7 linked regions of the Cricetulus griseus genome follow. The protein of the gene in region 5 interacts with the protein of the main gene of each other region in a biochemical or structural test. Links are inferred from orthologs where the notes say so. Each region holds a gene or a part of one and is shown on either strand. Other genes may lie near its edges. The genes, in order: Chek2, Daxx, Eif4e, Pin1, Pml, Mapk7 and Sp1.

Region 1 (4,099 bases), about 79 Mb from region 5:
CATCAAACTCATTGTATAGCTCGGGTTGCCCTCAAATCTGTAATCCTGCCTCACCCTCTGAGCTCACAGGCATACATCAACACAGACGACTTGTTTTATTTTTATTGTCTCCTTTAAAATATTTACTTATTTGAGATGAGAATGTTCCCTATTTTTGTGGTTGGGCACCTACTGGGGATCCTCCTACTTTAGTCCAGATGCTTTTAATCCTAGCACTGGGGAGGTAGAGTCAGAACTACAAGTTGAAAAACAAACTCTGCTCCTTTTTCCTCCCTGGAGTTCAGCCTCTGGAATCCCCTTTTCCAGGAGCCCGCCCCTCAAACCTCCCTATACTGTAAACTTGAGCCTGTTCCCTTTTGTTGTTGCTGATGTTTAAAAACAAAGCCTTTGTAGCAGAGGCTAGTCCTGAATTCCTTAACCTCCCACTTCCACTTCCCAAGTGCTTACATTGCAGGCATCTGCAAGTTTACGCTTTCATCCCCGCCTCCACCCTTACCTTCTTTCCAGTCTGTAACTTGATTTCCTCTTCCTCTCAGGCAAACTCCTAAAATCTCAGCAGGTCCTATATTATACAAATGACCTATATACTTTTTTTTTTTTTTTTTTTGCTTTGTTCGTTTTGAATGAGTCTCGGTAAGTTGCTTAAACTGGCCTTGAACCGTGGTCCTCCTGCCTCAGTCTTCCAGCTGGCTGGAAATTACAGGCCCGCCGGCGAGGACCCAAGTCGTAAGCACCAGGGTAACGCCTGCCTAATTTAACTAACTCGGCCATCCGAGCTCCCCAAGACCGACTCGCCCTCCCATAACTCTGCGCCGCGCGTACCAATTCATGAGGCTGAAGTAGTCCCGAGTCGGGTCAGGTGGCTGCAAGGCGCGGCAGTGTTCGCAGAAGAACCCATCCCCACTCTCCACACCCCCAGCGCTGCCGCAGTTCCAGCACTGGCCCGCATTGCTCTTGCCCGAGGCAGCGTTGCTGCTCAGCAGTCTCCTTCCCAGGAACCCAGCTAGTCGCACCTCCCACACGCAAACCAAAGCACGGGCCCGGCAGCCCCACATCCGGACAGCCGCCCGTCTGGCCTGGGTCGAGGGACTCGAGGGAAAGGAAGCAAGAGTGACTCGTTGCTGATTGGTTTAGTGAGCCGAGGAGGCGGGATCAGCCTCGGTAAAACAGGATGCCGAGTCCCGTTCTGCATCCTAAACTACAACTCCCAGCAAGCCTTGAGGCTAACGCATGGCAGCCACATTCGGGTCTTCTTATTGGTCGTGCCGAGCAGAAAGGCGTTTTGATTGGCTGAGGGTGGAGTTTGCATGGGTAGGTTTAGCGCCACACCACTGGTTGCGGCGGTCTGGGGTGTTTGTGGCTCCAGGTGTTCTTTCGCGGTGAGTTTTAGCGGGAAATTTTTCTTGCCTGTCTGAGGATTCGAATCGGGTCTCAGGGTCTTCTGCAAAGGGGCCCTTCGCAGCTTCCGCCTGGTCTGTGTGTGCAAGAGAGCTCTGCACGCAGGCGACTCTTCCTTGTTTTTTAGCTGCTCTTCGAGGGGGACATTCTCTTGTTATTTACAAGCTGAGACATGGGAAGGCACAGAGTTGGGCTCTTCAATGCCAGAGAGCGAAGTAGTTTCATAGCGAGTATTATAAATGTTAGTGATCATGCCAGGTCCCCGATTCATTCTTCCCAAATATTTACTGAGAACCACAAACATCGCTGCTAGGCTCTGCAGGAACTGGAGTGAGTACGTAAGGAAGTGTGTGGGGTAGGGTGGCAAGGAGTGGATAGGAAGCAACCAGCCATTCTCAGCTTCTCTACACGCTAGCGCTGTGTAATTGGCCGATAAATTCTGTTCGTGATCCTGAAATTTTGCTGTGGTCACTTTTTTTAAAAAAACTCATCAATGATTCTGCCCTTCTGAGGTGATCATAATATGCCTGTTCCTTTTATAAAAAATTTATTTTTAAAAATCATGTGTCTGTGTAAGTCTGTACAGTGCGCAGGGAGGCCAGCAGAGGGCAGTGCATTCCCAAAGAGCTGGAACTACTGGCATTTGTATGCTCCTGGATGTGGGTGCTGGGAACTGAACTCAAAAAAGCAACGTGCTCTTCTTAACCGCCGCGATGTCTCTCCAGTCCCTAAGTATACCCGTTCTCCGCTTCGTATGTTTGGTGGTACTCGGCATGGAATCCAGGACTTTGCGTCTACTATTGAGTTATATTCACATTCTTCACTTAGCTTTGGGTAAAGATTTATTTTTAATTATATGTTACGTGTGCAGGAGTATGCTCACGTGAGCGCAAGTGATTTCAGGGGCCACGAGAGGACTTCAAACCCACTGGAGTTGGAGTCACAGGCAATCTTGAGCTTCCAGACTTGGGTGCTGGGAACTTACTGAACTTTTGGGTTCTACAAGAATAGTTCTGTTCTTTGCTGCTGCATCATCTCTCCAGCTTCCATTCCTCGTTCTTGAATTTTAGGCCTCGCTCCTTGAATCTCCCCTCATTGTTGGACTCTGTTTTTGAGGTCGGATATGAAGAATCAGCAGTCCCACAGCAGTGGTTCCTGTTCACAGTCCCAGGGTGGCTTCACTCAGTCACAAGGCACTTCCTCTCAGTTACACGACCTCTCCTCACAGTCTCAAGGCACATCCAGTTCCTCTAGCGGCACAGTGTCATCCTCCAGCCAGTCCTCTCATTCCAGCTCTGGGACACTGAGCTCTTTAGAGACAGTGTCCACCCAGGAGCTCTGCTCTATTCCTGAGGACCCAGAACCTGAGGAGCCTGGTCCTGCCCCTTGGGCTAGGTTATGGTCTCTTCAGGAAGGATTCTCCAATCTGGGTAAGGCATTTTGTTATATAGTATAATGTATTGTTCAGGGAAACAGGGGTGGTGGTTAGATTGTTGCAACAGAAATCTCAGGGCCCCTATAACTGGTTAGAGGTGAGAAAAAAGTTAAAAAAAAAAAAAAAAGTGGAGGCTGTGGTGGAGTGCCTGGGCTGCCATTACCTGCCATGTACTCACTGTTATTTCTCCTCCTGGTTGATCCTCGTGCAAAGAATCAGACTTAGGCCTTATGCATGGTAGAGTGAGCTACATCTGTTGTTCCATCCCTAGCTACCTTATTTTTATTATCAAATAGAATTTTTTGAAATTTCATAGGCTGGCCTCAAAATTTATCTTTTTCTTTCATTTTTTTTCAGAGAAAAGGTCTCATAGCCTGGGCTGGCCTTGATCTCACTATGTAGCTGAGCTTGACTTTGAACTCTTGATCTTCCTGCTTCTATTTCCCAAGTGCTGGCTTTATACGAATATATTATCAGGCTCTACGAGACAGGGTTTCTCTGTATAGTCTTGGCTGTCCTGGAACTCGCTCTGTAGACCAGGCTGGGCTCCGAGTGCTGGGATTAACGGCATGTGCCACCACCGACTGGCTACTCATTATTTTTGAGACAAGAAATTCTGCAGCCTAGGTAGGTTTGCAATTCACTATGTAGTTCCTCATGGCCTTGAACTTGCATCGAACTTCTTGTCTCAGCCTACTGAGTAGCTGAGATTACACATACCAGGCATACCTGGTTCAAATTTATAATTTGTATGTGGATATCCGGTTGATCCAGAGCTATTTCTGAAAGATACTTGTATTATTCAGGGTTCTCTAGAGGAACAAAACTGTTAGAACTGATATTCATTATTATATTTCATTTTTTAAAAAATTATTTATTTTGTGTGTATTGGTGTTTTACCTGCATGTATATCTGTGTGAGGGTGTCAGATCTTGGAGTTACAGACCCTTGTGAGCTGCCATGTGGGTGCTGGGAATTGAACAAGGGTCCTGTGGAAGAGCAGTCAGTGCCCTTAACCGCTGAGTCATTTCTCCTGCCCCCTATACATTCATTCTTATTCTAGTGGTTTACAGGCTGTGGTCCAGCTAGTCCAACAATGGCTACCCATGGGAGGTCCAAGAATCTAGCAATTACTTGTTCAGTTCATAAAGCTGGATGTCTCAGCTGGTGTTCAGTATACACCATGATCCTGTTGAAGTAGGCTTTACTGCCGGCGAAGGAATGCCCTTGCCAGTAAGAGTGAGAGCAAGCAAGAAAGAGAACAAA
Region 2 (4,098 bases), on a different chromosome or scaffold from region 5:
CATACATGCTGGCAAAACACCCGCACACGTAAGACAAAGTTCTTCTGAGTAATTGGAATTATTGCAAGAACAGAAGTGACCAGACAGCGTAAAGCTCATGTTTATGTGTATTCATTATATAATGTATTCTGGTCATTGTCACCTCTATTGTCACTCCCCCACCCCCCTCTGGCTCCCATGGAAGCCCCCACCCCCACTCAGCACTTTTCTCCATCTTCCAGCTCTTACATTTATTCTTTCAACCTCCTAGTCTTCCAAGTTCTCTCAGAGCCTAGGACTTGCTGTCAGCTCGTGTAACTGCTGTTTAAAAGTCTATCTATTTGACTTTGTATGGGTGTTTTGCCTGCATACATGCATGGTCATTATGAGCTCGCCCTACTGGATGCCCGGGGACTGGGGCTACAGATGACTGCTTCACTATGTAAAGGCAGGGTCCCCCTTCTCACTTTCCCAGGCACTCACATTGTGCACAGAGACTTACAGGGACACACACACACACACACACACACACACACACACACGAGAAAATAAATAATTGTGGAAAAATAGGGAATCTTTGGGGCTGGAGAGATGGCTCAGAGGTTAAGAGCACTGGCTGGTCTTCCAGAGGACCTGAGTTCAATTCCCAGCACCCACATGGTGGCTCACAACCACTTGTAATAGGATCTGATGCCCTCTTCTGGCCTGCAGGCATACATGTGGACAGTGCACTCGTACCTAAAAAAAATCATTAAAAAAAAAAAAAAAGAAGATAGGGAATCTTCATTTCAGGCATCCACTCAGGAAAACCCATTCTGAGAAACCCACGGATAAGGAAATTATATTCATCATCTTCAGATGATAATCAATGATTAACCATTGAAGAACTTCCTTTCCCCATTTAAATGCCGTAAGCTAGTTGGGGCACCGGACAGGAGGCGGGGTGCGGCAGGGTGCTCACCGACCCGGCTTCCCCACGGGCACCCCTGCGGGCCTCACCTGCCGGCCCCTTTTCTCCGCAGCTCTCCGGGAGGAGGAGCCTCCCTTCGCGTCCCGGCGCTGCCAGCGGCGGCCTGCGAACAGTTCCTCACTTGTGCAGCTGGCTGAGCTCGTTGGTGTGCACGCGTGTGAGCGCCCGGGGCGGGTAGGGCGAGCGCGGGCGAGCGTGGGCCGCCAGGAGTGCTCGCGGCCGAGACTCGCGAGGAGGGAGCGTCAGGCTGCCCCGCAACCCGGGGCAGGGACACCCGCTTTCACTTTGTCGTTCCCTGGAGCCCGCTCCGTAGGTGCCCCGCGGGGGCGGGGCCGGGGCCGGGGGCGGGGCCGGGTCCCTTCCCCTCGCAGGAGCCGGGGCTCGCCCAGACGGCGTCGGGGAGGCCCGAGGCACGGAGTTCCTGACTGGCCGAGTGGCTTCGGGCCGCTCCGGGTGCGAAGAGCCCCACGCCTTCCCCGAGGAAGGTCCGTACCGCAACATGGCGCGCCCCACCTCCCCGGGCTCCGCCCCGCCTCCCCGGGCCCCGCCCCCTCGGGCGCCGCGAGCCGCGTCCTGGGTGGGTTGGTCACGCGGCACTTCCGGCTCGTGGGGCGGACCGCGTTCCGTACAGCAACATGGCCGCCCCCAGGTGTGGTGGGCGGAAGCTCCGCGGCTTCCGGTCCGTCGTGGGGCCTGCGGGGAAGGGAAGGCGGAGGGAACCATGCGAGGTTCTTTGATCCGCGGTGAGGACGGCCTCGAGAGACCGTTTCAGAGGTGGGGGCCGGGCCCTCGTGCGCGTTTCGGGGTGGCGGTGGCAGTGGCGGTGGCGGAGGCGGAGGCGGTGGCGGTGGCGGTGGGGCCGGCGTGGCGAGAGCGAGGGGCCGGCGGGGCCTGGGGGCCGCGGGCTGCCTTGCTGGCAGTCGAGGGGAGTGAGGCGGCCTGGTCAACGGGGGGAGGGGCTCCTTGGCGGGAAGCTGAGCCGGGACCGGCGCGGATGGGGCGGGAGCCCGGGTGCCAGGCGTGCTCGGCGGGGGGCTCGCTGTCGGTTACGGCCGCGGAGAATTGCGGGGCGAGCCGGGGTGCGGTGAGAGGGCGGGGACTCGGGGTGAAGGTCTCCAGCCCTCAGGTCCCGGGTTGAGGAAACCCGGTGGGAGGTGGAACGCGGAGGGGACTGGAGGAGGGGACGGGCTTCAGCTGGAGTCAATGAGTTGGACTTAGGGTGGTGGCTCAAGCCTTCTAATCCTAGCGCTCGGGCGGCAGAGCTCTTGAGTTCGAGGCCAGCCTGGTCTACAGAGCGAGTGCCAGCATAGCCAGGGCTGTTACACAGGGAAACCCTGCCTTGAAAAACAGAAAAAGGGAAAAGCTCGAAGCGCTTCCATTGTGGTGTTTGAGGGAGACGGTGGAACCGACAGGGTGTTGGGTTTTGTAGACAGGGTCAGGGGAACTCAAGAGGCCAGTGTGGACGTTGTCCTGGGATAAGAAGAAACTTCCCAGCTGACACAGAGGGGAAAACAAAACTGACAGACCGGAAATTGACGGAGGGGTGGAGTTCAGGGTGGGGATTTAAGATGATCCGGAGGTTTGCTCCCCAGAACTGCTTGAAACTGGTAGTTGTTGAAGACGGGCTTTGAAGAGGGTTAGGGCAGGACTGAGGGTCCCTGCTGGGGTGGGGCTCTGCAGGAGGGGCTCTTCCTGTGGTCCCCTTGTTCTAGAATTCTGACTTTTCCAACACTTCCTCCCTTAGGGGGATTTGATCCCCCATGGCCTCCGCTGACAGCATCATTGTGCTGGATGACGACGATGAAGATGAAGCAGCTGCTCAAGCGGGGCCCTCACAGCTCCCCTCCAGTCCTGTCTCACCAGGGCCAGAAGCCTCTGGTCCCTCTGAGTCCCATGGGAATGGAAGAAGCCGTAACTCAGGTGGCAGGAAGTGCTACAAGTTGGAGAACGAGAGGCTGTTTGAAGAGGTAAGCTTCAGAGAAGGCGCCTTTTGTTTTTGAGACAGGGTCTCACTGTGTCACCCTGCCTGCCTGGAACTGTCTAGATGAGGCTGGCCTTGAACCCACAGAGTTCCACTTGCCTCTGCCTCCTGAGAGCTGGGATAAAAGGTGTGAACCACTATGACCTGACAGGGAAGATGGAAGGAAAGGGGGATTGGCTCTCTTGTTCTGATTTTCCCACTAATTCCATTTTTTTTTTTAAATGCCTTCCTGTCTCCCACCCTTTCCACGAACTCTTCAGTTCCTCGAACTGTGTAAGGTACAGACATCCGACCACCCTGAGGTGGTTCCATTCCTCCACAAACAGCAGCAGCGTGCCCAGTCTCTGTTTCTGGCCTCTGCAGAGTTTTGCAACATCATGTCCCGGGTTCTGTCTCGGGCTCGGAACCGGCCAGCTAAGCTGTATGTCTACATTAATGAGCTCTGCACTGTTCTTAAAGCCCATTCAAATAAGAAGAAGCTGAACTTGGCTCCTGCACCCTCCACACCCAGTAAGCCCTCTGGTGATAACCCTCCCACAGAGTCCTCCTCTGAACTTACAAATGCTGAGAACACTGCCTCCAAGGCCTCAAGGACCCGTGGTTCGAGGAGGCAGATCCAGCGCTTGGAGCAGCTGCTGGCGCTGTATGTGGCAGAGATACGGCGGCTGCAGGAGAAGGAGTTGGATCTCTCGGAGCTGGACGACCCTGACTCCACGTATCTGCAGGAGGCCCGTCTGAAGCGGAAACTGATCCACCTCTTTGGGCGGCTGTGTGAGTTGAAGGACTGCTCCTCCCTGACTGGCCGGGTCATAGAGCAAAGAATCCCCTACCGTGGCACGCGCTACCCAGAGGTCAACAGGCGCATTGAGCGGCTCATCAACAAGCCAGGGCCTGATGCCTTTCCTGACTATGGTGACGTGCTGAGGGCTGTGGAGAGGGCGGCCACCCGGCACAATCTCGGCCTTCCCCGACAGCAGCTCCAGCTCATGGCTCAGGATGCCTTCCGGGATGTGGGCGTCAGGTTACAGGAGCGCCGACACCTCGACCTCATCTACAACTTTGGCTGCCACCTCACAGATGACTATAAGCCAGGTAGGAAGCTGTTGGGATGCCTCCTAGGGGTCCTTTAGGTTACGTGGGCTACGCCCCTGACCCTGCTTTCTCTTTT
Region 3 (4,153 bases), on a different chromosome or scaffold from region 5:
TTAAATTTAACGTAAACTCTCTTGACAAGTTCTGGTATCTACTTCTGAGTCTTATACTTTTCTCTACCAGTATTAGGGGAAAATAGTATGGGCAGTAATAGAGGCAAAACTGAAAAAGACCCTAAGCAATAAAACAGTAATATGTTCTATGATATTTCAGTTACATTCAAGTCTTGGATTGTGTTAAAACCACAACTTAGTGTCTTTAGAGTTTGTTCTAAGTCAGTTCTGAGTTGTTGATATGTTTAAGGTGGGGTACCAAGTGAGGTTTAGAATACAGAGTTGTACAAAATGTGGTCTGTACTTGTTCCTTAGGAGCCTGGTTTGGGTCAGAGTTGAAATATTCCTAGTGATAACTCTGTTGTGAAAGTTGCATTGAAGCTAGTTGGAGATAGTGTGCAGAGTGGCATTGAGGTACTTGTTTTTCTTTTTGTAACACCCCTGCCTTTAGACTACTCATGGTATTTTTAATATTTTTGAGATTTGCTTTTGGAGCCCAGCCTTGGTGGTGCATGCCTTTAATCCCAGCACTTTGGAAGCAGAGGCAGGTGGATTTTGAGTTCCAGGACAGCCAGGGCTACACAGAGAAACCCTCTCCTGAAAAACAAAGCAAATAAACAACAACAACAGATTTGGTTTTGGTGCTTGATTTTCAGCTCAGAGCCTGGTGTACACTAAGTTCATTCTGCTACTAAACTACGCTGGTGCTTCTTCAGTTTCAGATCTTTTTATTTTTTTTAAAGCAGCTGTTATATTTTACTATTGGACTGCAGTTGAGGAACTGTGTTAAAGCTTGTAAAAGTCTTACTTGGTTATTGCTGTGTGTGTTTCTTTAGTTTTTTTTTTTTTTGTAGTGTGTTGAATTGTAAGCACCTGGAGCAGTGTGGTTCTCAGCTTGTAGTCCTGACCCCTTTTGGGGGATTAACAACCCTTTCAACAGGGGTCAGCTAAGAACATCTGAAAACACAGGTATTTACATTTCTACTCATAAAAGCAAAATCACAATTATGAAGTAGCATCAAAAGTAATGTTATGGTTGGGGTCACCACAGCATGAGGAACTGTATTAAAGGGTTGCAGGATTAGGAAAGTTGAGAGCAACTTACTTAGTCATGAGTAGGTGATACTTCTCTCCTTACATATCCAACCTTTTATAAGTATTTGTCAGTATTTCCAGTAATCTATGGAAAATCCATAAATGATCATTTTCTTTTTTGTTTGTTTTTCTAGACAGGGTTTCTCTGTGTAGCTTTGGTTCCTATCCTGGCAATCACTCTGGAGACCAGGCTGGCCTCGAACTCACAGAGATCCACCTGCCTCTGCCTTCCGAGTGCTGGGATTAAAGGTGTTCGTCACCAACGCCCCTCGAATGATCAGTCATTTTCAATCAGTGTTTGAGGTTAGTTATGCAAGTAATGGCTTACAGATAGAGATTGAGACGTTCAAAGGGGAAATATATTGCTTTACAGAACCTGTGGAAAATGGTTGCTCCTCTTAGTTTGGAATTGAGGAAAGTCAAAATTAGACTTAGTGAAAATGGTAGACCATGTCCTTGATGGTATTCTATGGGTTCTTCCTTTTAGATAGCTTACTTTTCTTCTGCTGTTTTTCCTGTTATTTAAAAAATGTGTTTTTTTGTGTGTCTGTGTGTAGGTCTGGAACTTGTGTCTGTCTGTCTGTCTGTCTGTCTGTCTGTCTGTCTGTCTTGGAACTCCATAGATCAAAGCTGGGAGTTCTGCCTTTTTAGCATTGGGATATATACAGGTGCACAACATCACACCTAGTCCAGATATTTCCTCTCTTTATACTTAGCCTTGCTTTTAAAATAAGACTGGCAAACATGGAGAAGCCAGCTGTGGTGGTGCATGCCTGTAACCTGAGGACTCACTCAGAAGTGGAGGCAAGAGAACTGTGAATTGGAGCACAGCCTGGCCTACATGTCATACCTTGTCTTAAAGCAAAATAAAGTCTAAGAGAAAAGGTCCACTGAGATAGATAGCTTAGGGGCAAGGGTGTTTGCTGCCAAACTTGAGGGTCTGAGTTGGAGACTAGAACCCTCAGGTTGCAAACAGGACCTCTTGCAAATTGTCCTCTGATCTCCAAGTCCACACCAAGGCAAGTGCACACACATAGAGAAATAAATAAGTAAATATATGTGTGAAAAGCTTAAAAAAAAAACAAGGAAAAGCACTAAAAGTTATAAAATGTATCAACCGAAAAGCTGTTTATTGGTAAGCAGATTGACAATTTTTTTTTTTAATTGAGAACTCATTTTTTGTAATTTATTTATTTATATTTTGTGTGCATTGGTATTTTGCCTGTATGTATGTCTGTGTGGGAGGGTATCAGATCCCTGGAACAGGAGTTAGACAGTTGTGAGCTGCCATATGGGTGTTGGGAATTGAACTCAGGTCCTCTGGAAGAACATCCAGTGTTTTTAACCACTGAGCTGTCTCTCTAGCCCTAAAAGTTAAATCCATGCTTCATTTCATTTTATTCATTTAATGTGCATTGATTGGTGTTTTGCCTGTGTAAGGGTGTCAGGTCCCCTGGACCTGGAATTACAGACAGTTGTGAGTTGCCGTGTGGGAAATTGAACCGTTTCCTCTGGAATAGCAGCCAGTGCTCTTAACCACTGAACCATTTCTCCAGCAGGAACTCATTTTATTAGTAACTTTGTTTAGTTATTTCACATTTCACTTCACTTTATACTCTGAATCTGTGTGATTGTTTGACTTAGAAAAACGAAATGTGGATATACACTTTATGCATCATAGTTACATAGAATCAATTAAAATTTTTCAGATTGGCTTAATCCAGATTGAACAGAAAGTCCTGAGCAATAGCACTTTCATGACACACTTAATTTCTAAGACTGTGGCTCACAACTGGGGGGTGAAAACCCTTTCACAGGGGTTGCCTAAGACCACCAGAAACATATTTATGTTGTAATTCCTAGAGTAGTAGAATAACAGTTATGAAGTAGAAACAACAATAACTTCATGGCTGGGGGTCACCACAGCTTGAACTGTATTGGTGGGTCACAGCATTGGAAGGTTGAAAAACCACTGTTCTAGAAGGCTAAAACTATAAAGGTCAGTAGAAGTACCAGCAGCCCTCTTATAATAGGAGACATGTGCAATAGTTATCGTGTCAATAGTCATTGCTCCTTTTCCTTCCCTGCCACACTGGAGACTCGATTCTGTTACATTATGAGTTGTGCGGTCTTTCTCAGGGAGATGACTGAGGAGTGGGATTAAGCATGGCTTATACAGTCTTGTTTAAATTTTCCTGGGAGTGGGGAACATTGAAATTTCTTAGTCCGGGTAAAAATGGGAATCAAATAGCTTAATTTTACCCTGATTTTTAAATGGAGTATTGGAGATGATATGTGTCACTTGTGTGGATCTAATGTTTGTACTCAATCAAGGTTCGGCACCTCTCTGCATGCGCACATCTTGTGCTGGAAAATTCTTGTCAGTCCTTGGCCATTATTAGCAAGCAATGTGAAATCTATGATCACAGCTCAGGTATTGTCGACTTTCCTGTTTTTACCAGAGTCTAGTCACATCTAGAGAAGAAAGGATTGCTTTTCATCTAAAAAAAAAAAAAAAGGTCATTTTTTTTTGTCTTACAGTCAGAAACAAGTAGTTGTCTCTGAATGTGTGTTCCTCTTTGTATATTGTAATTTTAAAAATACATTATTCCATGGAAATTGATGGGAGGCTTAGGTGGACTACAAGCCTGACTAGTATTTCCAGGAATGTGGATTTAGTGTTCTAAGCAAGTAATTTTTTAAAAAATGACCTTTCAGTCACCGCCTGTTTGTAACAACTGTTTGCTTTTGTAGCGACTATTTTTAATAGAGGCAGATCTTTATTAATTGCTAACTTAGTGTGTTGGGCCTCAGAGTAAGTATTTTATATATATTCATTTATTGCTTGCAGCAGTTCTGTTAGATGAGTGGAGTTATTCTTAATTCACAGATGAGGAAACCTTTAAGGCAGCCGAGTTCTGGCTGTGCTTGTAAGCATCACACTGCTATCTGCTGGGCATGGAGGGTAACTTGAGAAAGGGAGCTTAGTGTTGATAAGCTTTCTAGGGCTTTGTTTCAGCTCTAAGATTTGTGCAGACAGACTTTAAGACGATGCTTA
Region 4 (4,138 bases), about 36 Mb from region 5:
GCATAAAGCAACATTTGTAAAGTGTTATGCTTTGCCTGCATGTATACATGAATGTGCACCATGTGCAGACCTGGTGAACTGAAAAGGTCCTCTGCAAGAGCAGTCCAGGCTCTTTTTTGGTTTTCGAGACAGGGTTTCTCTGTGGCTTTGGAGGCTGACTTGGAACAGCTCTTGTAGACCAGGCTGGTCTCAAACTCAGAGATCCGCCTGCCTGCCTCTGCCTCCTGAGTGCTGGGATTAAAGGCGTGCGCCACCAACGCCCGGCTCAGTCTGTGCTCTTAATCACTGAGCCATCTCTGTAGCCCTCCGCAGACCTTTTTCCTTCTCTCCTTTTTCTTGGGGGGGGGAGGGTTGTTGCTTTTGTTTCATTTGAGACAGGGTTTCTGTGTATAGCCCTGGCTGTCCTGGAACTCATTTCATAGACCAGGCTGGCCTCTGCCTCCTGAGTGCTGGGAATGCACCACCACATCAGTTTCCTCCACAGACTATCAATTGACTTAAGCCTATTCCTTTTCTTCATCCTAGTGATAATGCCATCGCCCAGCCCAGGAACCTAGGAAGGAGTCAGGCAGAGAAGGAATAAGTTGAAGTAGGTTCTAAAGAAAACTTGGAAAGTGGGTAAAATGATTAGCCTTGGGGCTGTAGAGATGGCTCAGAGGATAAGAGCATTGCCTGCTCTTCCAGAGGTCCTGAGTTCAATTCCCAGCAACCACATGGTGGCTCACAACCATCTGCAATGAGATCTGGTGCCCTCTCTAACCTGCAGGTCTACATGTAGGCAGAACACTGTATACATAATAAATAAATCTTTAAAAAGAAGAAAGAAAGAAATGATTAGCCTTGCAAAACCCAAAAAGGACTGGCGTCGCTTTGGAGGAAACAGGTGGGAAGAGAACCAAAAAGCCAAATTTAGGCTTTGGGCACTTGGCTTCTTATCACCAAGGCAACTGAATTGCTATGGCAACGGCAAAATACAGCAAAAGTACCGAATACCTCCCTACCAGCGAGCCGCTTCCGCGTGGAGGCTGGCCGACCTCCAAGAACGGCTCAATAAGGCGGGATTGGTTGCCGCAGGAGCCAATCAATAAGCTCTACTCTGCGGGCTAAGCCCACCAAGAAGGTTGCAGAGACCTTTTGACGCTTAAAGGAATCCTGAGCGTTCAATGGGCGACGCTTCCAGGTGGGCCAATCAGCGGCGGTGTCGGGACGGGGGGGCGGAGAGTGTGCAGGGGCGGTCCAGGAAGCCGCGAGTGAGCCCAATAAAATGCTAGCGCTCTAGCGGCGCCGTGGGGCCGTCCAACGGGCGTCTGAGCCGGGCGAGCCAATCGACAGTGGCGCTGGGCCGGCGCGGGGTCACAGCTGCGGAGGCGGAGCGGGGCGGAGCGGAGGCGGGGCGGGCGCTGCGGCAGGAGGGAAGATGGCGGACGAGGAGAAGCTGCCGCCGGGCTGGGAGAAGCGCATGAGTCGTAGCTCAGGTACGTCTTGGGGGTCGGCCAGGGACCGGGCCGGGCCGGGCCGGGCCCTCGCGAGATTGCAGAAGGCGGGCCCGAGCTCACGAGGACAGGCGCCCTGCCTTAGGCGTGAAGGTCTGGGCTCCGCGGCGTAACGGGCCCGGAGAGCCAGAGACCGAGGCAAGAGGTGGGGCGGGCACGGGCACGCCGGCCCGTCGCTCACCACCGGGCCGGACGTCCTCAGGACACTAGGCTGCACCGCGGGGCTCCTTTGGGAGGAGGAGACCCGACCCGGTGCCTCTAGAGGGCGTGGGCCGCCCTGATTTGGGTTCTGGGGCAGCATCTGTGACACGTGCCGGCTCATCTCCAGCACGGGATCCTGCGACAGCGCTGGCTTAAAGGAGCTCAAGTTCGTTCACAAGTCTGTACGTCCCCCACCCTCCCTAGATCCCTTCATCTCCGTCCTGCCCCCCCCTCCTCTCTCCCTCCCTCTTTCCTTGGCTCATCCTCTCCCTTTCCCGGTCTCCCCTCTCTCTCTCCCGTTTCTCTGTCGTGCCCGTCTTTCAAGGGATGGTTTGCTCTCATTTTTCTAGTGAGGGAACTGAAGCCAGGACACGCAAAGAACTCGCCAAATGATGCAGTTCAGGGACTGGGAATGCAGTGAGTTCCTACCGCCAGAGTCCCCTTGCCAGTGTCAGTGGCAACGCCCTGAGGAGCGGATAGGCATCTCCGGTAGAACCAGGGTCCTGCTGCCTACAGAGCTCACTTATTCTTATTGAGCACCAGGGTGCTGGACACTGTATACATTAGCTCTCTCTGAATTAACGCGGCTAGGTTTAATGTGTCTTTCACCCTTTTGTTTGGGAGGGGGAGGTGAAAGGGTGTTAGACTGGATCTCACGTGGACAGGTTGCTAGATCCTCCTGCTTTAGCCCTTCAAATGTTGGGATTATAAGCATGCACCACTTTGCCCAATGTATTTATTGAGACAGAATCTTTATTAGTAATATTAGTAGTAGTATATTTTGTGTGTATGCTTGTGGAGATCAGACAATAACTTTTGCAGGAGGTTTTTTTTTCTTTCTTTCACCATGAGAGTACCTGAGATCAAACTCACATCCTCAGACGTGGCTGCAAACACATTTACCCACAGCTATTTTCTTTCTTTTTTCTTTTTAAATTTGAGAGGGGGGGGGAGAAGACTAGTCTTGAACTTGCTTTCTTGAACCTCTGGTCCCCACCCTCACCTTTCTGAGTGCTGGGATTACTATCACACACTAAGATAAAAGTCTTGCTGTGTAACCAAAGCTGGCTTCTAACTCATGGTTCTTCTGCTTCAGCCTCTCAAGCACTGAGACTACACTCATGTGCCACCATGCCTAGTTCTGATGTCCTTATTCTCTTGCCCCAGTTTTTCAGATGAGAAAGCTGAGGTTCAGGGAGATGGCCTATTGTATTTAGCCCTAGAGTCCTTGCTCCTATCCAGGCTGCTCCATTCCTGGCCTAAGCATAAACATACTTCTAGGTGGGTGTGGTAGCACGTAGATAAATTTCCAGTACCTAAGAGGCAGAAGCAGGAGGTTCTCCAGTTCATAGTTATCCTGAGCTACATAGACTTTTGTTTTGTTTTTGTTTTTTGAGACAGGGTTTCTCTGTGGCTTTGGAGGCTGTCCTGGAACTGACTCTTGTAGACCAGGCTGGTTTTGAACTCACAGAGATCCACCTGCCTCTGCCTCCCGAGTGCTGGGAAAGACCTGAGCTGCCACCACCCAGCCATCCGGCCCTTCTTGATGCTGAGTCACCTATGTAACCCAGAAAGACTCTAAGCCCTTGGAGTGACCCAGAATCTACTGGGTCCTTCTTTCAAGCTCCTGCCATGTCCCTCACTGCCCCTCCTCTTTCCTCCTTCACTATTTTTTTCCTGTTTTTTTTTTTTTAATTTTTTAAAATTTAAATTAGAAACAAGATTGTTTTATATGTCAATCCCTGGTCCCTCTCCCTCCCCTCCTCCCCTGCCCCCTTTTCCTGTTTTTTGTTTGTTTGTTTGTTTTTTGAGACAGGGTTTCTCTGTTTAGCCCTGGCTGTCCTGAACTTACTCTATAGACCAGGCCAGTCTTGAACTCAAAGGTCCCCTTGCCTCTGCAGCCCAAGTGCTTGGATTAAAGGTGTGTGTCAACACTGCTTGGCTAGCCTCGAATTTGTGATCCTCCTGCCTCCACCTCCTTCAGCAAATCCTACATGTGTATACCACCACAACCAGGTCTCCTTCACGTTTTTTTGAGACAGTCTTGCAAACTTACCCAGACTGGCTTCAAACAGCAGACACCTATCCTCTTGCCTCAGCCTCCCTAGTTCTAGACTGTGCCCCATCAAGCCAGGCTTTTCCCTTAAGCTTTTGAGTTACCTTCTTTATGCTCCTCACTGTCACCTAGATGTCCCTTAGATGACATCAACCCCCCCAGTAATGCTGCTTTCTTGCTCTTCAATTTAGGCCACCAGGGTAAGGATTAAGAATAAAGTTTTGGGCCTGGCAGTGGTGGCGTGCGACCTTAATCCCAGCACTCCGGAGGCAAAGGCAGGTGGATCTCTGAGTTTGAGGCCAGCCTGGTCTACAGAGCGAGTTCCGGGGCAGCCAGAGCTACACAGAGAAACCCTGTCTTGAACCCCCCCTCCTTTGAGGTATCTGCC
Region 5 (3,500 bases):
CCTCTTACTGTCTTCTGCTTCTTTAATGTTGGTGATTGGATGTTGAGGGAACAGAAGCAGAGGCACTCATCCTTGTCTACAGGGAGTTCCTGGCCTAAGTAGAATGACAGCCAGCACTTTCATAGCTATAAAGGCAAAGATAAGATGCTTAAACTTTTTGCTCTTGTTCTGAGGATCGAATCTGGGGCTTGGCACATGGTAGGCTTTACCATTGGACTGCCTGCCCAGCCTCATATATAAGTTTGCATTTGAACATCTACCTTTAGTACTTTTTTTTGGGGGGGGAGTAGTACCTAAGAGTAGAATTGGTAAGTCATGTGGTAATTTATTTCTTTTTATGTTATGTGTATAAGTGTTTTGCCTGCAGGTAAGTGTACCATATGTGTGCAGTGCCTGCAGAGGCCAGAAGAGGGTGTCAGGTCCCCTAAAACTGAGGTTACAGATGGGTGTGAGCTGCCATGTGAGTTCTGGGAACTGAACCCCGGTCCTTTGCAAGAGCAGCCAATGCTCTTAACCTCTGAGCCATCTCTCCAGCTCCCTTTTCACTTTTTGAGAAACTGCCCCTGCTTCCATTTTGATATAGATACTCAAAACACTGAGCACCAAGTCTGACCTGGAATAGTAATAAAACTGTGACATTCATTAGCCATCTTTATCACCCCCACTAGTGGAACCCTCTGTGTACTACATACTCTTTTAGATATGTTGAAGGTGTTTGGCCCGTTTCAGCCATATCACCATATGAAGCAAATGTTATTATCCCATTTTTTGGAAGGAGACTGAAGTCCAGTGAGTTTTAAATTATCCCAATGTGTAGCAGCTGCTGGACAGAGTTAAGACTTGGGGTTAGTGTCAGGCCCTGTCTGTATTAGCCCCACGTTGAGGGGCCCTATGTTGAAGACTGATGTTGGTGGGGGGGGGGGGAGCTGCGATCCGAACAAACCGAATGGCCCTGGGTCCATTCCTGAGTCAGGGAGTGTGTGATGAGGGAAGACTAGCTATCCTGGTTAAAGAAAAGACAGAGACATAAGATCATATCAGGAGGGCAGTGAGTTAATAGTCAATGTGCCCAGTTTATTCATACATCATCTTAAGTAACCATCCAAAGGTGGGGACAATGGCAGAAGACATCTATTATCTTGTATAAACGGCAGATAGTAATTACTTCCCTTAATCCTAAAGACACTCATAGCTGCACATACACTTGGCTGTCAGGCACGCCAGACCAGCACATATCACTAGCCTTAAGGATGAGTGTAAAACTCACCTTGGCCTAGGTCTATTGTTATTTAGATAGGAGCTATTCACCACAGAGGCCAGGATATCCTGCAGCCATTAGCTGACATCTTAAAAACAATAGAAGTCCAGGCTCTCTGAACTCTACTGTACTCTGCTGGGTAGAGGCAAGCTCTGGGAGGCTGGGCTTGGATTTTCTCACTGCTGCAACTCCACCACTGTTGAGGTGCTGCTCTCAACAGGAAGCAGCTTGTCTCTAGAGGCATGCAAGCTAGGCTAGTTGTCAGGCATGTTCTGAGGAGTTGGCCTTGTGGTCCCTGAGGTGTCTTCCTGCCCTGTCAGGAAATTGAAGTGGTGCCTGGGTACCAGCAACCCAAGGTCAGAAGGAGGTGACATCATGGAGGGTTCGGGAAAAACTACTTGTCCCAGACCTAGAAGCTTATAAGTGAGGCAGATTGTTAGGCCCAGGGTCCCTGGCCATTTCTGACTTTTTGTTACCTGATTTTACAGCCCAATGAAGTACAGAGGGAACTGGCACAGGCCCTGAATATGTCTGAGACCCACTCTGTGGCTGTGGTACAGTCAGTGCCTGGAGCACAGCCTGTGCCAGTGTATGCCTTCTCTATGAAAAGCCCCACCTATAGAGAGGTAAGTCCTCCTACTCAGCCCAGCCTCATCTGAAAGGGTCAGACTCCAACCAACAGTGAGGCACAGCTGGATGAGAATCTGTGCCTTCCCAAGGTCTTTATTTGCTCAGATTGTGCCCCGTGTTCTCCGTGTTCTCCGTTGGCCTGGGATGCTCCCCTCCCAATAAGCCTGAGCCACTCTCAACCCAGTTGAGATGCTGACACAGCCAAAGCCATGAGGTCAACAGAGATCCTTGGTCAGTGTGCATGGCAACCCAAAAGAGTTTCCTGTTTGCAGAGATATGGTCACCAAGGCCAAAGGAACAGGAGCAAAACCATGCCACAAGCCCCTGGCACTCACCTCAGGGTCCTCAGCCCAACAACACTGGAGACACCTGAATCACCCCTATAACTCTCCACTGTGCAGGAGGCTTCTCAGACAGTCACCCCCAGGAAGAGGAAGTGCTGCCACAGGAATTGCTCTGGGAAGATCATCAAGGTGGAGTCCACAGAAGAGAATGAGGACAGGTTGAGCACTAGCTCCCCTGAGCAGCCCAGGCCCAGCACTTCCAAGGCCATCTCACCTCGCCATGTGGATGGGCCTGCCAACACTGATGAGAGTCCAGTCCTAGAAGAAGACACCCTCCTGCTCACCAGCAACCTTGTTACCAGTGACACAGGGGAAGCAGGTAGGGAGATCAGGCAGGCTGGTACTTGGGTAAGACCCTCATTCCCCCATCTCACATTCTAATCCCACATGGGCACTCAAAGTCACCAGGATTCCCTTGTACACATTACTCTGAGCTGCCATTGAGTATGGTGGAGGTCATTTACACTGTACTTTGCTGTGATTCCAGTGTGGGACACCTGAGGACCTATGCCCTAGTTCTGACTCCTTTCCTTCAAACTCGGCCAGTGCCAAACACTGTGCCTTAGAGATATATACACTCCATCTCCTCCTGATGCACACAGGTCAGGGCATCTGTCACCTCCAGCTTACAAGGACTCTCCTGGGTGGCCACTTCTCACCCCAGCCAGTGGACATTTCAGGAAGGACTTAATGCCACCACTTCCTCTCCATTTCAGAAGAGCCAATTGTGGTGATCAGCAGCTCAGAAGACTCAGATACTGAGAATCTGGTGAGTAACTTGGAGTTCAGCCTAGGACTCCTGCCTCCCCTCATTTAAAGCCCCAAAGGCTGCAGTCACAGCAGGTGACTCTCAGGCTCATCTGGCACATGGGAAAATTTCCAGCAAGGCAATAAAAAGCCTCTAAACTGTACCAAGGAGAGTCTGCAAGTAATGACTGCATGTTTATTGAACCATAGCCCTCTCATGGCATCAGGCAAGAGTGCCTCTGAAATGCTTGCTAGACTGCTTCCTTCAGGACCTGGCTGTCCTCTGGAATATCCGAAGCTCTTTTCTAAAAGCTTCCTTATATATTTTCTATCTGCTAAGTTCTCCATGAAAGCTGGACAAGAGTTTATTTCCCGGTTAATCAATGAGCCAGATATAGTGGTTCACTCCTTTAATCCCAGCACTTGGGAGGCAGAGGCAGGTAGATATAGATCCCTGTGAGTTCAAGCTTGGTCTAGTCTACATAGTGAGTTCCAGGACAGTCAAGGCTATGTAGAGAGAT
Region 6 (4,125 bases), on a different chromosome or scaffold from region 5:
TGAGTATTATACCAGTGCAGTTATGCTGGGCTTTTTTATGGGTGCTGGGGATCAGAACACAAGCACTGTCTCCCCAGCTTCCTCCTCAATATCCATGGGTGTAGTAAAACAAAATGCAATGCCTACTTTTCTATTTTGATGTACATTTCATAATAAAACTCCTGAAACCCCTAAGTATAGATAATGAGTAACAACAGCCACAGACCCAAAAATCTGTCCTAGAAACCGAAAGGACTTACTGTTTTGAAACAGGGTTCACCGTGTAGCCATGGCTGGCCTGGAACCCAGTATGTAGACCATGCTAGTCTTCACAGAGATTCGCCAGCCTCTGCATCTCCAGTGCTGGGACTAAGGGTGTAAGCCATCATGCCCAACTTTTTAAAAACATTTAATTTAAATCAAACATGCGTGGAATAAGTTTGTGAAAATGTATTGATGTGGGAAACTTTCTGCATGTATTTTGTTACAAAGTACAAACATAAACACCTATGTATGTACACTTGCCAAAATTCATTTCTGGTCGGGACCCAACCTTCAGCTTTTAGTTGAGAACTGCGTAATATATGTTAACCGGGCACTCAGAATTTACTTAGTTTCATCCCAGTTTCTCCCTCCACATTTTTCTTGTCTCACTGAGAAACCCAGACCTCTTTGGAGTGGGCAACACCCGAGCTGCTACCGAGAACCTTTCCAGCGCTGGGGTTAACAGCGCTCACTTTTGCCTTCTCCGGATGACCCATCCGTAGCGGGATGGCGAGGAAAGGAATCATAGGGTGAGGGCTCTGTCGCGGTCCAGAGGGCGTGTGCATCCAGGCCTGGGACGCTCTAGAATCCGGAGGACTTGGGTCTCCGTGGCTACTACTCCGGGACCGGGCGTCCAGAACTTCCGGCGCCAAAAGAGTACGATGCAAATCCCTTAGGAGATGAGGCTAACAAGAGGAGCCGAAAGGAAAGGGAGGGGTGCGGAGCTTGTTGTCTAGGTAACAGCTCCCCCCCCCCGCCCCTTCCCGTATCTCCACCCTTTCGGGTTTATGGAGCCCGTAGGCCCTGACGTCCAGGCAAACGTAGCAGTGTTTTGCCCTCCCTTCTCCCAGCTCCAGAGGCTGCTAGCACGCATGCGTCAGTGTTGCGGGGATGCGCGCGCATCCCTGAGGTGCGCGCATCACCCCTTGGGCGGCTCCCGCCGCGAGCTGGACAGCGAGGAACGCGCGCGCGCGCGCGTGCGTGCGAGACAAGGGCGCGGCTTCCTCGTCCGGTGAATTCCGATTGGATAGAGTAAAATGAAGAGGCGGGAACCTCTACGGGGATCGCTCAATGATTGGCCAGAGACTGGAGGAGCGTGGTCCCGGGGTGGCCGGCGGGGTGGTCTGGCCCGGCGCGCGCGAGGCTGAGGTGGTAGCTGTGGCCCTTGATAAGTGACCGAGGCCAGGGGAACACTCTCGTCGCTACGTTGGCAACACCTGGGAACCCCAAGTCCCCGAGCAGGCGGCAGGCGTGGCGGCGAGGTGCCGGCGGGTCGGTGAGTGCGGTCCCGGGAGCCCCAGGGCCCCGCCCCTCCCTTTCTTCCGGGGCCGCGCCGCACCCCCTTGAGCCCCTACTCTCGGGACACAGGGTTCGCCGCGCCAGCCGCCCCCTTTCGCCTGCTGAGCAGGTTCTGCCTCCTAGCTCACAGAGGGGAAACTGAGGCCGTCAGGGCGGTCCCCTCACCAGGGTCTCCACATACACCATGGCTGAACCGCTGAAGGAGGAGGACGGCGAAGACGGCTCTGGGGAGCCCCCTGGGCGGGTGAAGGCAGAACCCGTCCACACGACGGCCTCTGTCGTGGCCAAGAACCTGGCCCTGCTCAAAGCCCGCTCCTTCGACGTGACCTTTGACGTGGGGGACGAGTACGAGATCATCGAGACCATAGGCAATGGGGCCTATGGGGTGGTGTCCTCGGCGCGCCGCCGCCTCACGGGTGAGCTGGCTTCCTGAGGCTCAGCATGTGTGGACTGCTTTCCAGAGGCGGTGAGGAACCCGCACGGTCCCAGGAGGGGTCCCAGGAGGGTCAGCTGCGCCGGGGACTCTGGTTCCACTCATCACTTACCGACTAGGTGCCAGCTCCCCGCTAGGTACCCTTCTCAGGGACCCTGCTTCTCCCAGTCAGCCTATACTTCCTCCTTAGGATAATGATATCCCTATAAGCCAGAATAGAGAGGTGCTCCTTGGTGTCCAGAAAGATAACTTTTAGAGCCAGAGATTGGCACAATGGCTTGGTGATGGAATGGGGAAGATCTGGGATGGAGAGCATATGTGAGGAGGGAGAGTGAGCTCAGGTAGTACAGTCAAGGCCACTGCTAACTATCTGTGTCTCCTCTGTATGTGAGCTATTAGTACCTGCCTCATGAGGTAGTTGTGAAATTAAAGTTTGGTATATGTTACACACAGGGTCTTGCACATCGTAGGTACCTGTTGTTACTTGGGTTCTAGAAGAGCGGTGTTAAAAGGGGCCTGCAATTACTTCAAGGTACTCTCTGGTATATGTCTTTCTCATGCTCTCCAGGCCAGCAGGTGGCCATCAAAAAGATACCCAATGCTTTTGATGTGGTGACCAATGCCAAACGGACCCTCAGGGAACTGAAGATCCTCAAACACTTCAAACATGACAATATCATCGCCATCAAGGACATCCTGAGGCCCACTGTGCCCTATGGAGAGTTCAAATCTGTGTAAGGAGTGGGGAAGGAGAAGGAGACATTGTTGGGGCCAGTTTAGAAGCCCAGGGCCAATACTGATGTTCTGGAAGGGCATCTGAACCTAATGTGAGACAGGCTGGGAAGAGTCCCATGACTCAAGGACCAGTGAGTGTTCCTGTAGAACATTGGTAGGGATGGTTCTTGTTTCTCAAGAAGAGTACAAGGGCTGGGGATGTAGCTAAGTGGTAGAATCATGAGCATCTTTGAGGGGGTTTTGTTGTTGTTTTTCAAGACAGGGTTTCTCTGTGTAACTCTTGTTGTCCTGGAACTCACTCTGTAGACCAGGCTGGCCTCAAACAGCAATGCACCTGCCTCTGCCTCCCGAGTGCCACTACCACCTGGCCCACATCTTTGAGGTTTCAGGTTGACTCTTCTGTATTGGAATAAAAAAAGGGAGGGGATATATTTCTTTATTTGGGCATGCCAATTTTGCCTATGTAGTAAGTTTAAGGCTAGCTTGGACTACATGAGACCCTATCTCATAAGACAAAACAAAAGACCCAGACAACAACAAGAGAGTGAGAGAAACAGAACAGGTCCAGATTTTATAAGATAGCAGACACAGGACATTGTTGTGTCATGATACCTTCCTATTCTTATGGCAGATATAACTAATTAGTCACAAAATACTTTTTTATTTGTTTGTTTGTTTGTTTTTTGAGACAGGGTTTCTCTGTGTACCTTTGGAGCCTATCCTGGCACTTGCTCTGTAGACCAGGCTGGCCTCGAACTTACAGAGATCCGCCTGCCTCTGCTTCCCAAGGGCTGGGACTAAAGGCGTGTGCCACCAACGCCCAGCCAACTTTTAAGCTTTTTGTGATGTAGAAAAATCTAGAACCTGATGCTATTTTTTTTTATATCATCTGCTAGTCCTTTAGGGTTTCAGTGTAAGGCCATAATATCTAGAATTGAGAGGAGGGCTAGTGAGGATTGTGCTTGTCCCTGTAATATGAGACCAGCTCACACCTTTTGTCACCATTTCCAGCTATGTAGTACTGGACCTCATGGAGAGTGACCTACACCAGATCATCCACTCCTCACAGCCACTCACACTGGAGCATGTGCGATACTTCTTGTACCAGCTGCTTCGGGGCCTCAAGTATATGCACTCTGCTCAGGTCATCCACCGTGACCTTAAACCCTCTAACCTTTTGGTGAATGAGAACTGTGAGCTCAAGATTGGTGACTTTGGAATGGCCCGTGGGCTGTGTACCTCCCCTGCTGAACACCAGTACTTCATGACTGAGTACGTGGCCACTCGCTGGTACCGTGCCCCTGAACTCATGCTTTCCCTGCATGAGTACACACAGGCTATTGACCTCTGGTCTGTGGGCTGCATCTTTGGTGAGATGCTGGCTCGGCGACAACTCTTCCCAGGCAAAAACTATG
Region 7 (3,363 bases), on a different chromosome or scaffold from region 5:
AAATCCTGAACAATTTATACGTGAAACAGTGTGTCTCAAAGAGCACTTGGATTAATCTGGAAGGTTTTAAGAAGGAGCTCCATTTTAAATGGGACTTTTTAAAAAGGTTTTTTCATTTATTATATATACAGTGAGGGCACCAAATCTCATTCAGATGGTTGTGATTGCTGGGATTGAACTCAAGACCTCTGGAAGAGCAGTCTATGCTCTTAACCTCTGAGCCATCTTTCTAGCCCCCCCCCCTTAAGTGGGATTTGAAGGATAAATATCAACCCAATCTTTATTTTGACTACTTTTGAACTAAGTTATCTTTTGCTTTTTTTTATTTAGGTGAGAAGAAATTTGCGTGCCCTGAGTGCCCCAAGCGTTTCATGAGGAGTGATCACCTGTCAAAGCATATCAAGACCCATCAGAACAAAAAGGGAGGCCCAGGTGTCGCCCTGAGTGTGGGCACTTTGCCCCTGGACAGTGGGGCAGGTTCAGAAGGCAGTGGCACTGCCACTCCTTCAGCCCTTATTGCCACCAATATGGTAGCCATGGAAGCCATCTGTCCAGAGGGTATTGCCCGTCTTGCCAACAGTGGCATCAACGTCATGCAGGTGACAGAGCTACAGTCCATTAATATCAGTGGCAATGGTTTCTGAGATTAGATACCTAGAGCCAGAGACATATGGGCCAATACCCACCAAGCCTGGGATGCAAGATAGCATGGGTCCAAGAGACATGTGGAAGAGAGAGCCATGAGGCATTAATGTGCTTGGTGGTGGGAAGAATTGGGGGAGGGTACAAGAGAAGAGATGGGATTGTGGCACCAATCTGTCACTGGTGACTTCTTGAAAATGGAAAATATTAGTGAAATTTCTGTTGGTGCCACCCTTTGATAAGCATTTATTTCATCCCAGGTTCTTCTTACACTTCTTACCCCAGCCTCCCCTTCCTGCGTTTCCCCTCTGAGCTCTCCCATGATGGATCCCCACTCCCCACCCCCAAAGCCATCATGCCTTGATAAATATATATGATCATTGAAATACTTTTTAACAAAAACAGATTCTATATTATATATATATATATAAAAAATATATAGAGATGCTTTCACAGGGGTTGGCTGGGAGGAGGAAAAAAGACCATTTTGTGACCAAAAAATACCTTGGTCATTTTTTTTTTTTTTTTAATATTGCCTTATTTCTCAATGGCTGAGCCTTATCATGACACATCAAGCTTTTCTATAAATGTTGTCCTGGCATCCCACCAGAGTAAGCAAATGCTGTGCTTTTAGTTCATATATACATACATAATGTGTCTTCTTCCTTAATTTTTGTCATTTTATTTGGGATCAGCTCCTTGCGCTCCTTTCCTGACTCAGTCTTTTTTTTTTCTCCCCTTCTCTCACATGATCACTTCCTGTGTTGTTTTTGACAATGATCTCTGAATTAGGCCCTTCACTCATTATTTTAAAGAGCTTAGTTCCAACTGCAGAATGGACAGCCTTGAAGTGCAGCCTGATGCTTGAAGTAGCTATGGGGAGTGTTATTACTACTGACGCAGGCACCTTCTCAGTGCTGGAGAGTCAAAACCATTTCCCTTTGTTAGCTGCTCTAAACATCCGGAGTCAGAAGTCTCTATGTGGAATTGTTTAAAAGGCCCTTGGAGAGAGATAATCTGGGATCAGTGTGTATAAACTGTCAAAAAATGGTCAAATAGTAGGCAGCAGCTTTTAGTAGGAAAAAGATGTTCTCAGAAAAGAAAATAACTCAGTCTCAGTTATTGGAATTATTTGGATTTCAGTATCATTGTCTTCCAAATAGCCCTAAGCCTTAATGTAGGGGCTTCTGAGTTCACACACTGAAAGGAAGTACACTTCCTCTTTTGAACATTTCTGTAGTTCTTGTTAATGTTTGAATGTTAAGGAACATTAGCCAGCGAATCTGTTCTGACTTTTCATGCTGTAGAATGCAAAACTTGTGCCAGTGACAAAAGAATAGTTCTTTAAAAATTTTCCCCCTTAACTCTTCCTTATATGTACGTGGGTGTTTGTAAGGGAAAGGGAAGCACACAATCATGGGAACGATGGCCCAGAACAAAAAGAAATCTTGTCTTACCACTGTGGATTATAGGAGAGATCGGGAGAAATTATCCTGCTTTTTCCATGGCCTGATTCCAGAAGTGACTGATCCAAAAATTATATCGGCAGGGAAACTCAGTGCATTTGACACCGAGACTTAAATGCAACCAGAATTGTCCTCAAGGCCCAGCCATTAAAGCATTGTCTCTCTTGACCTTCTGGTATCTTGTCAGAGAGCCTTTCACTGTGAGGAAGTGTGGAAGTGGTTGTGTGTATGTGTGTAATCTATTAGGTTGGGGATAGGTTTTCTGTTAGCCAATATTTAAAGAGACCTGCAATAAAAAATTACCCTGATCTGATAGAGAAAGTAAATTGTGTATGACTGTGTGTATGAATGGGTGTTTGTGCCTGTATATATCTACGTGCAGATGAGAACTTATATTTGAAATTGTTGGAAAGTAAATTCAGATTAAAATGCCTTTCAGGCCTGTTACCTAGGAATTGGTTATAAAACTTGGGTATGTTCTTGAGGTCAGTTCTCTGCTTATGCTAAATCAGTTACAATTATGAATGGGGTGGGGGATCTCCTAGTGCACTTTCTAAAGAAGAAACTATTTTTGTGTTTGAAAATGAAATCAACATCCAAATCTATAGCAGAGTCCTTGTTTTAAACTCTTCTTTATCTTGGCTACAAATAGATTATACTATTATTATACATTTTATGTGAATTCCATCTAAACTAGATTCTTGGTAAGTTTGTGGTGTTGTTAGTCTGAAATACAAGAGCTGTTAATCCTGTAACATTAGTCTATTTCATTTGGTCCTTTCTGTGCAGACTTAATACTGTTATCAAGACTCAGGAAATAATATTTTAAGGCATTTTTCCCAGATCACGTTATTAATGTTGAAGTAAAAGTTATCTGTCCTCAGTCACCATGAACCTTTTATCCCCACAGAAAAGCAGAACTCAAACCTTGTTATTTTATGTCTATAATCATGTACTATGGCATCTCTGGAGGAAGGGGCAGGCAGGATAACTCACTGGAGTGTGCAGTATTTTGCTAGATCATTTCAAGGAATAGAATCTTGTTCAGTGTGAGGTGATTAGATAATGATGCCAAGGACTATAAGCCTGTAGAGAAGTTATTTGATAGTGTTTTCTCTCTTGGGTGAAAAGCTGATGATTTACACTCAACATCTGCTTCATTAACATTACCATGAATTAATTTGCATCAGACCTCTTCTACTTTTCCTATTTTCTTCTCCAGTGTCTTATTTGACCCTAAAATGGGAGCAATTTC

Evidence for each region.
Region 1: the proteins of Pml (region 5) and Chek2 form a complex in vitro, tested with the Homo sapiens proteins (2 studies listed by BioGRID, with this or other methods). The link is inferred for Cricetulus griseus from reciprocal best matches to the Homo sapiens genes PML and CHEK2.
Region 2: the proteins of Pml (region 5) and Daxx form a complex in vitro, tested with the Homo sapiens proteins (2 studies listed by BioGRID, with this or other methods). The link is inferred for Cricetulus griseus from reciprocal best matches to the Homo sapiens genes PML and DAXX.
Region 3: the proteins of Pml (region 5) and Eif4e form a complex in vitro, tested with the Homo sapiens proteins (4 studies listed by BioGRID and IntAct). The link is inferred for Cricetulus griseus from reciprocal best matches to the Homo sapiens genes PML and EIF4E.
Region 4: the proteins of Pml (region 5) and Pin1 form a complex in vitro, tested with the Homo sapiens proteins (2 studies listed by BioGRID and IntAct). The link is inferred for Cricetulus griseus from reciprocal best matches to the Homo sapiens genes PML and PIN1.
Region 6: the proteins of Pml (region 5) and Mapk7 form a complex in vitro, tested with the Homo sapiens proteins (2 studies listed by BioGRID and IntAct, with this or other methods). The link is inferred for Cricetulus griseus from reciprocal best matches to the Homo sapiens genes PML and MAPK7.
Region 7: the proteins of Pml (region 5) and Sp1 form a complex in vitro, tested with the Homo sapiens proteins (2 studies listed by BioGRID, with this or other methods). The link is inferred for Cricetulus griseus from reciprocal best matches to the Homo sapiens genes PML and SP1.

What each region holds. Positions count from the first base shown.
Region 1 is NC_048597.1:90,621,420-90,625,518, forward strand, and holds the start of Chek2 (serine/threonine-protein kinase Chk2), read left to right. Parts: upstream 1-1,299; 5' UTR 1,300-1,379; intron 1,380-2,468; 5' UTR 2,469-2,521; coding exon 2,522-2,828; intron 2,829-3,190; exon of another isoform or gene 3,191-3,460; intron 3,461-4,099. Other genes in the region: iron-sulfur cluster co-chaperone protein HscB, read right to left, coding at 823-1,055. UniProt on the Homo sapiens protein: Serine/threonine-protein kinase which is required for checkpoint-mediated cell cycle arrest, activation of DNA repair and apoptosis in response to the presence of DNA double-strand breaks.
Region 2 is NW_023276806.1:232,098,472-232,102,569, reverse strand, and holds the start of Daxx (death domain-associated protein 6), read left to right. Parts: upstream 1-1,298; 5' UTR 1,299-1,434; intron 1,435-1,568; exon of another isoform or gene 1,569-1,723; intron 1,724-2,693; 5' UTR 2,694-2,709; coding exon 2,710-2,916; exon of another isoform or gene 2,917-3,057; intron 3,058-3,190; coding exon 3,191-4,022; intron 4,023-4,098. UniProt on the Homo sapiens protein: Transcription corepressor known to repress transcriptional potential of several sumoylated transcription factors. Down-regulates basal and activated transcription.
Region 3 is NW_023276806.1:21,046,142-21,050,294, reverse strand, and holds the start of Eif4e (eukaryotic translation initiation factor 4E), read left to right. Parts: upstream 1-1,353; 5' UTR 1,354-1,368; coding exon 1,369-1,398; intron 1,399-4,153. UniProt on the Homo sapiens protein: Acts in the cytoplasm to initiate and regulate protein synthesis and is required in the nucleus for export of a subset of mRNAs from the nucleus to the cytoplasm which promotes processes such as RNA capping, processing and splicing.
Region 4 is NC_048597.1:133,534,173-133,538,310, forward strand, and holds the start of Pin1 (peptidyl-prolyl cis-trans isomerase NIMA-interacting 1), read left to right. Parts: upstream 1-1,338; 5' UTR 1,339-1,417; coding exon 1,418-1,475; intron 1,476-4,138. UniProt on the Homo sapiens protein: Peptidyl-prolyl cis/trans isomerase (PPIase) that binds to and isomerizes specific phosphorylated Ser/Thr-Pro (pSer/Thr-Pro) motifs.
Region 5 is NC_048597.1:169,831,143-169,834,642, reverse strand, and holds part of Pml (protein PML), read left to right. Parts: intron 1-1,746; coding exon 1,747-1,884; intron 1,885-2,289; coding exon 2,290-2,551; intron 2,552-2,834; coding exon of another isoform or gene 2,835-2,923; exon of another isoform or gene 2,924-2,948; coding exon 2,949-3,001; intron 3,002-3,500.
Region 6 is NC_048600.1:75,495,193-75,499,317, reverse strand, and holds the start of Mapk7 (mitogen-activated protein kinase 7), read left to right. Parts: upstream 1-1,325; 5' UTR 1,326-1,519; exon of another isoform or gene 1,520-1,710; 5' UTR 1,711-1,726; coding exon 1,727-1,958; exon of another isoform or gene 1,959-1,983; coding exon of another isoform or gene 1,984-2,008; intron 2,009-2,072; exon of another isoform or gene 2,073-2,094; intron 2,095-2,543; coding exon 2,544-2,709; intron 2,710-3,721; coding exon 3,722-4,125. UniProt on the Homo sapiens protein: Plays a role in various cellular processes such as proliferation, differentiation and cell survival. The upstream activator of MAPK7 is the MAPK kinase MAP2K5.
Region 7 is NC_048595.1:398,805,496-398,808,858, forward strand, and holds the end of Sp1 (transcription factor Sp1), read left to right. Parts: intron 1-330; coding exon 331-644; 3' UTR 645-2,863; downstream 2,864-3,363. UniProt on the Homo sapiens protein: Transcription factor that can activate or repress transcription in response to physiological and pathological stimuli.